Macaca fascicularis: one gene and its partner. Each later gene encodes a partner of the first gene's protein in a complex. Links are inferred from orthologs where the notes say so. Each region holds a gene or a part of one and is shown on either strand. Other genes may lie near its edges. The genes, in order: KPNB1 and PTHLH.

Evidence for each region.
Region 2: the proteins of KPNB1 (region 1) and PTHLH are in contact, whole or in part, in a crystal structure (PDB 1M5N), measured with the Homo sapiens proteins. The link is inferred for Macaca fascicularis from reciprocal best matches to the Homo sapiens genes KPNB1 and PTHLH. Residues at the interface, in NP_002256.2 of Homo sapiens: Val55, Tyr104, Pro106, Gln111, Glu152, Tyr156, Gln159, Asn196, Leu199, Asn200, Gln239, Glu274, Gln278, Glu281, Asp288, Ile295, Ser298, Glu299, Asp339, Asp340, Trp342, Val350, Met353, Glu395, Trp430, Arg434, Glu437, Asn469, Trp472; in NP_945316.1 of Homo sapiens: Tyr103, Thr105, Gln106, Glu107, Thr108, Asn109, Lys110, Val111, Glu112, Thr113, Tyr114, Lys120, Thr121, Pro122, Gly123, Lys124, Lys125, Lys126, Lys127, Lys129.

What each region holds. Positions count from the first base shown.
Region 1 is NC_088390.1:59,071,217-59,075,029, forward strand, and holds part of KPNB1 (importin subunit beta-1), read right to left. Parts: intron 3,550-3,813; coding exon 3,448-3,549; intron 620-3,447; coding exon 395-619; intron 1-394.
Region 2 is NC_088385.1:30,724,424-30,728,336, reverse strand, and holds the start of PTHLH (parathyroid hormone-related protein), read left to right. Parts: upstream 1-1,461; 5' UTR 1,462-1,717; intron 1,718-1,765; exon of another isoform or gene 1,766-2,058; intron 2,059-2,224; 5' UTR 2,225-2,246; coding exon 2,247-2,347; intron 2,348-3,913. UniProt on the Homo sapiens protein: Neuroendocrine peptide which is a critical regulator of cellular and organ growth, development, migration, differentiation and survival and of epithelial calcium ion transport.

The DNA of each region.
Region 1 (3,813 bases):
ATCAGTGCTAGGTGCAAAAAAAAATTATCGGGAAATGTTTACAACATAGTATTAAATGAAGAAACAAGTTATAAAACAATCTGCACAGAAAGCGCCTGTTGCACACACATTTACACAGGAAAAAGCTTCAAGGATAAATACAGAGTTAAGAGCGGTTATTTCTGGGCAATGAAATTAAAGGTGACTTCTCTTTTGGCTTTTTTCAAAAGTCTCTGGATCATGCTGACTAATTAGAAACCTAAGAAATATATTTTACTCTCATTAAAAGTAAATAGGTATCTATAAATAATCTTTGTAGATGACAATTTACAGTTTTGTTTTGAAAAATAAAGATATGCTTTAAGTTTAAACAATAAATATTCTACTTTCTACTCCAAAAATCCCTCAGCTTCACCTGTATAACTAGTGGTTTGAGCTGACTGGGCTCTGGTCCTTCCAAGATACAACCAAAAGCCATCACTGCTGCATCCCGGTACCGCCAATCTGGGTTCTTGATGTGTTCTTTAATGAACGGGAGGACATGTGGGACAATGTCATCTTCACAGCAGGTGGCCAGAAGCATGAGGCACACCCCTGCTGCTTTACAGGGGTTCCAGTCATCGTCATCATCATTTTCGTCCTGGTGAAAGAATATGGCACTAGTTAAGATTTTGTCCAAAGAATCATTTTAACTCTAAAGGTCCTCTGACTACTTGAATGTCTTTAGAACTTAAACTTCAGGGAAATAAAATATAAGACCTTTATATTTTATCTCTTCCACAAACATTCCTCACAGCATAGTCTTTGTTAAACAAGATTCAGAAGCAAGAAGATTCCATTTAGTACTAAACAACAAGAATGAAAAAATTTCAACTACATCCAAAAAGAATGAATCCCAAACATTTAGAACAAAATGCAGAACTAGAGTGTATGCTGTATGATTCCAGTTATATAAAGTACAAAATTGGCCAGGCACGGTGGCTCACGCCTGTAATCTCAGTACTTTGGGAAGCTAAGACAGGTGGATCACCTGAGGTCAGGAGTTTGAGACCAGCCTGGTCAAGGTGGTGAAACCCCGTCTCTACTAAAAATACCAAACTTAGCCAGGTGTGGTGGCACGTTCCTGTAGTCCCAGCTACTCAGGAAGCCAAGGCAGGAAAATTGCTTAAACCTGGAAGGCGGAGGTTGCAGTGAGCCGAGATTACACCACTGTACTCCAGCCTGTGTAACAGAGTGAGACTGTCTTAGAAAAAATAAATAAATAAAAAGAATAAATAACGTCCAAAATCAACAAAAATTAACTTATGGAATAACAGACCAGGAAAGTGAGGGAGTTTCATGACTGGAAAGAAGACATGATTCAATCAAAAGTTCAAAAAAGAGGCAAGGCGCAGTGGCTCATGCCTGTAATCCCAGCACTTTAGGAGGCCAAGGCAGGCAGATCACTTGAGGTCAGGACTTCGAGACCAGCCTGGTCAACATGGTGAAACCTGGCCTCTACTAAAAATACAAAGATTAGCTGGGTATAGTGGCACATGCCTGTTAATCCCAGCTACTCGAGAGGCTGAGGCAAGATAATCACATGAACCTGGGAGATGAAGGTTGTAGTGAGCCAAGACTGCCCCACCACACTCCAGCCTGGATGACAGAGTGAGACTCTGTACCCCCCATCCCCCCAAAAAGACAAAAAACAAAAACACAAAAGTTCAAAAAAGAAAAGATTCCACTAATATCTCCTCTTAAGTTAAAATCCAAGGTATAGCTTCCTAATTGTGGCCATTCACACCACATAGTAACTTAAGGCAGGTTGCCTACGCAGTTTCAGAAAATCACACAAAGAATAATTTGTTCTCAAAGAGGAAAAGCACAGTAAAAATATAAGAAAGTAGGCCGGGTGTGGTGGCTCACACCTGTAATCCCAGCACTTTGGGAGGCCAAGGTGGGCGGATCACAAGGTCAAGAGATCGAGATCATCCTGGTCAACATGGTGAAACCCCATCTCTACTAAAAATACAAAAATTAGCTGGGCGTAGTGGTGCATGCCTGTAGTCCCAGCTACTCAGGAGGCTGAGGCAGGAGAATCGCTTGAACCCAGGAAGCAGAGGTTGCAGTGAGCCGAGGTCGCACCACTGCACTCCAGCCTGGCGACAGAGTGAGACTCCGTCTAAGAAATAAACAAACAAATAAATATAAAATATATATACACACACACACACACACACACACAAAAGACAAGACACAAAGTCAAAAGATAAAAATAGCAACAATAGGCGAGGCGCAGTGGCTCATGCCTGTAATCCCAGCACTTTGGGAGGCTGAGGCGGGCGGATCACCTGAGGTCAGGAGTTCGAGACCAGCCTGGCCAACATGGCAAAACCCCACTTCTACTGAAAATACAAAAATTAGCTGGTTGTGATGGTGCGCACCTGTATTTCCAGCTACTTGGGAGGCTGAGGTGGAACACTGCTTGAACCCGGGAGGCAGAGGGTGCAGTGAGCCGAGATCATGCCATTGCACTCCAGCCTGGGCGACAGAGTATGACTCCGTCTCAAAACAAAAGAAAAAAAAACAAAAACAAAAAACCTGAAAGGAGAGGTTAAAATGTAAGGGAACATCCAGTTCATTTTAATCCAAACACATCCCTACTTAGCTTTTGAAACTACTATATTGAGAATCATACACATCCCTAAAAACAATTACATTCCTGTGTACAAAGAAATGATGCAGTGCTCAGTTACCAGCATTGTTTCCTCAGAGTACTAGCAGCTCTTTGGTAATAACTTCACATGCACCAAAAGAACCTTCCCAAACACCGTATCAAGAAACACTGTGTTGCATAAAGTCGGGAGAACAAAAGCAACCAGGACACGGTCCTCATAAAAGAACTTCTATATTTACTCATTAGACCCCAATCTTTATGAAGTCTTGTCACTTCACTTTCAGTCTGAATCTTAATAATTCAAGTTAATCATCTTAAAGGATTAGTAGAAGGGTTTCTTTCTTGGGTTGGGGTCCTTCATTAGGATCTGAATAACTCATATCCAACTTCTTTAGCATTTTAAAAGCATATACCCTGTGAACTCACAAAAGTATCCTAGACATTAGAACAGATAGGCAAGTGGCCTAAAACCAGCATATCTTTGCTCCCAACCTTGCTTCACTGAAGCGTTGATAGAGCACCTCTCTTCTAAGAGTTTGGACAATGGAGCACTCAGGAAATCAGAGCAGCATGTGGCTCACTCCTGAGCAAGATGCATCTGAGATGTTAAGACCTAGTTCTCCTTCACAAAGAAGTCAGAGCCTAGGGGATCTTCTAGATCCAGCTTAGCTGTTCCTGAGCCATCAACAACAGAACATCAAATAGTTGATGGGTTGCCAAGTTCCTTCCATGGAAACTGTTCCACAGCAAACAGTTTACTCTTAGTAAGGTTTCACAGCTTACCTACCTATATTTGGAAGGTAACTCACCTGTTTCGTTAGTGTCTGTGTGAGGATTGGAACCAGATACTGTAGTGCTCCCTTGGCATAAAACTTGCTGGTGTGCTCAGGGGGCCGTCCTTGTTCTGCTGCCTGAGGAGAAACAAAGCAAATTCTAGACAAAAGCAATCAAGCTCTGTATACTAAACGCATACAATGAGAGCTGACCAGGGATCTCTTAGCAGAAACAGAAACATACAGGGACAAATGGTAACATACAATGTGATCTTGGAAAGTGCTCATTTTTTGGTCTACTTCAGTGAGAATCTTTTAGGCCCTTTTAGGCCATATATTACAGGTCCAAGGCAACATTGAGTATAACTTTTTTTCATAAGTTCAATTCGTATTGACAACCTG
Region 2 (3,913 bases), on another chromosome or scaffold:
AGTCAAGTTTTTTAAGGTATGGGGTTTACAGTAATCAACTGAGGAAGACAGGAGTTTCTAAGAAAAGATGCCCCCCACCCAACCTAAGCAGCAAACTTTAACTGCTAGCTAGCTGCAGCGACCCAGTGGGGAGCCCCGATGAGCGAGGGTCTCGGTGAGAGGCCACTGTTTCTCCCACCCTGGGTAAAATATGTGGAGCATCACCTGGAAGGCCAGGCTTGATAAAGGCCACACTCCTTGAATCATCTCAAGTCTCTAAATCACACTAGCCTTCTAGAAACTAATGAACCCTACCAGCAGGATTGCCTAGAAGACAAATATCCCTTGAATGGTTCCCAGTCACTCGCGCTCTTTTCACAAAGTTAGAGGAGCCCTGGGGCGGGTATCCACTCCCGCTGCAATCCTTTCCTAGATGATACTACCCAGTCATTCCGAGCAGTCTTTCTTCCCCGCCCATTAGCTTTGGAAAGAACCTCTGCTTTCCCGTCGCTTCTCCCAAGCAGAGCAGCACACAACCATAGTTCCGCTGCGTCTGTCCGCTGGCTGCAGTGACTTGGATACAATCTTCCTAGAATCTGTAATCAGGCACTTTTGAGGGGGAGGGGACAACCGGGTAGAGTATCAGAGAAAGGATGGGTTAGACTCCTGACCAGGGGGGAAAAGGGCCGTGTGCGTGCCCCAGGAGTGTCGGTGCCCCTCTGCAATTCAAAAGGGGGATCTCTCCCGTGCGCGGGTTTTTTTGGACCGGCTCCAGATGTCTACCAGCAGTTCTGAAACAGCAAAAAGTGCAATTTAGATCTGAAGTCTGGAACCGTTTTTGCTCTCTTCTAAGCAAAAGATCTCCCTCTCTCTAGCCGATGCTCCCCACTCAGTTCATCCCGGGAATGAGCCAGGGAAGAAGGTTCTCATCCATCGCCCCGAGCTGCCAGGCGAGCTTCGGGCTCCTTAAATTCACAGGCCAACAGCCCGCGTCCTCTCCGCGCAGGCTCCCGGGCGCCCGTGGTCCCCGGCCCCGCTCCTTGGCCTCCTCCTCGTCGGTCCGCCCCTGGTGGTCTTGGCGCCCGCTGGTCCAGCCCGGCGCGCCGGGAACCGCCAGCTGCCCGGGGCCGTCCGCACGCCCTCGGGGATCTCGGCTCCGGGATCCGGCGCGCCGGCAGGAGCCGGCCGGGCCTGGAGGGAGCAAGCGGATCCGCCCACGCCCCCGGCCCGGGGATGGCGCGACAGGGCCCAAGCTCCGGGGTGGGGCTCGGTAGAGCTCCGGACAGCTCCGGGGGCGGCGGCGCGGGAGGGGGGAGCTCCGCCGCTCGCCGTTCATTCCCTGCTCGGGGCTCCCCTCCACTCGCTCGGGCGGCGCGGGGCCCGTTCGGGCCGCCCGTCGCCGCCCCCGCCCCCCGCGCGCCCGCCCGCGCCCTCGCTCGCCCCGCGCGCGTTCCTAGGGCGCCACCTCTTTGCGACTCTCTCACTTCTCCGGCAGGTTTGCCTCGGAGCGTGTGAACATTCCTCCGCTCGGCTTTCAACTCGCCTCCAACCTGCGCCGCCCGACCGGCATGTCTCCCCTCCCGTGAAGCGGGGCTGCCGCCGCCCTGCCGCTCCGGCTGCCGCTAACGACCCGCCCTCGCCGCCACCTGGCCCTCCTGATCGACGACACACGCTCTTGAAACTTGTTCTCAGGGTGTGTGGAATCAACTTTCCGGAAGCAACCAGCCCACCAGAGGAGGTAGACAGACAGCTATGTATATATATGTGGGTTTCGCTACAAGTGGCTCTGGAACCAAAGGGCCTGGTTCTCAAAGAAGCTGACTTCAGAGGGGGAAACTTTCTTCTTTTAGGAGGCGGTTAGCCCTGTTCCACGAACCCAGGAGAACTGCTGGCCAGATTAATTAGCCATTGCTATGGGAGACGTGTAAACACATTACTTATCATTGATGCATATATAAAACCATTTCATTTTCGCTATTTCAGAGGAAGCGCCTCTGATTTGTTTCTTTTTTCCCTTTTTGCTCTTTCTGGCTGTGTGGTTTGGAGAAAGCACAGTTGGAGTAGCCGGTTGCTAAATAAGTAAGTGCTGAGAGGCTCCAGATAATTTTTTTTTTCCTTTTCAACTTGGGAGATGCCCTTGATGTTGAAGAGGCTTTTTGAGACCGGGCTATAAAGGGAAAGCGGAGTAGTGCGGGGAGATGAAGAGTCCAGACTGACACTCGGGTCCCTCTCCCTTCTGTTGCAGGTCCCGAGCGCGAGCGGAGACGATGCAGCGGAGACTGGTTCAGCAGTGGAGCGTCGCGGTGTTCCTGCTGAGCTACGCGGTGCCCTCCTGCGGGCGCTCGGTGGAGGGGCTCAGCCGCCGCCTGTAAGTGCCCCATCCTCCCCAAGGCGCCGGGTTGGGGAGGCCAGGGGGAGGGGCTGCCAAGCTGGGACGCTGCCGAGGGCTTGCAGCGGTCACCGATGCTCCTCGCCCGGGTTAGGGAGAGGGACCATCCCGGATACCTGCCACGGCCTGAGTCCGGGTCCTCAAACCCGGCGGGAGGACTGGTTGATCTTCAAGGGGAGACAGGCAAGAGACAGATTTTATGTGTGTTTCCATAAGAGGGAGCGTTTCACAGAATCTCTTCTAGGCAGAGATCCTCTGCCTCTAGTGAGAGAAAAAAAAAAAAAGGTGGGGGGTGGTTGTTACTGTCAGGACCCAGGAAGCTTCTGAAACTCCGAGGAAGCTGAGCGGTCCTGGGGACGTATGGTCTGCGCGCTTGTATACGTACTGAATGTGGGTGGCGGTTTGCGTGTGAAAAAGCAAAAGCCGTACATCTAATTTTATTATGAATGACATAATTTTAAGCATATAAAATAGGACCATATTACATAATGAAAGCATATTATATAATAAAGTAGTAACAACTTTGCAGTGGCAAGACTCCAATGTTAGTATTGATACAGTTCAGGAACGCTAGAGTGCTTGGTTCCAAAATGAATTTTAGGTGTGGAAACTTTTTTTTTCTTGGAGTTATTGCTAACAGTTCTTTAATTCGGAGTCAAATATTTGCATTGTAGACTGAAAACTTGTATTTTGGCATTCTCACTTGGTGATTCTTTTAATGATAACTTCGACTTTGAAATAATCATACATCCAAGCACACCAGAGAAATATCACTATGTCGTGTGACTGAAAACTTGGAAGAGTGATAGAGTAACATGATCTTAATAATCTGTTGGACCTAGCAGTTCACTAATGTGTGTAACACCATATTTGGGTGATCTTTAAACTGCAGACTCAGTGTTCAGAATGGGAAGATTATAAAGTTCGAGAACTAAGAAGAAGAGTTTGACTCTGGAGAAGGAATTAAGGCAAATTTTTACACTAACAATAAAAATAGCAGCATCTAATATTTACAGTCAGGTTTATGGTGCCTCCTTGTAAATTCCCGAGGATGTACAAAAAGGCAACTGTTTTATACGTGCTCGTGGTCTATTATTATTAGAGAAGAAAATCCTTAAATGAAAATACTTGAGACATGTCTGAACCTTGGCATCAAAATGAAAATCTATTATGAATCTCCTAAGGCAAATTGTGTAGAACATTATACCGAAGATAAAGCTGCATTGTATTCTTCAGATCAACTTTTTACCGATGTATTTCTGAAAATTGTGTTCAGACTTTTTGCTCATTTTGAGACTTGTGTTAAATTCTATAATTTAAAATTCATATATAAATAGAAATGACTGAATTTTTAAAAGCATACTTAAATACTATATTTATTTGGTTAAGAAATACTACCTTGGAACAGAGCCAATTTTTTCTTTAAGGTTGCTTAAGAATACCTATCTTCTCTTTTGAGAAACAGCAAATGAGCCATGATTATGTACACAACTATGGCATAAAAATACTGCTAAGTTGTCCTAAAGGCTATTTTTAACTCTTTCT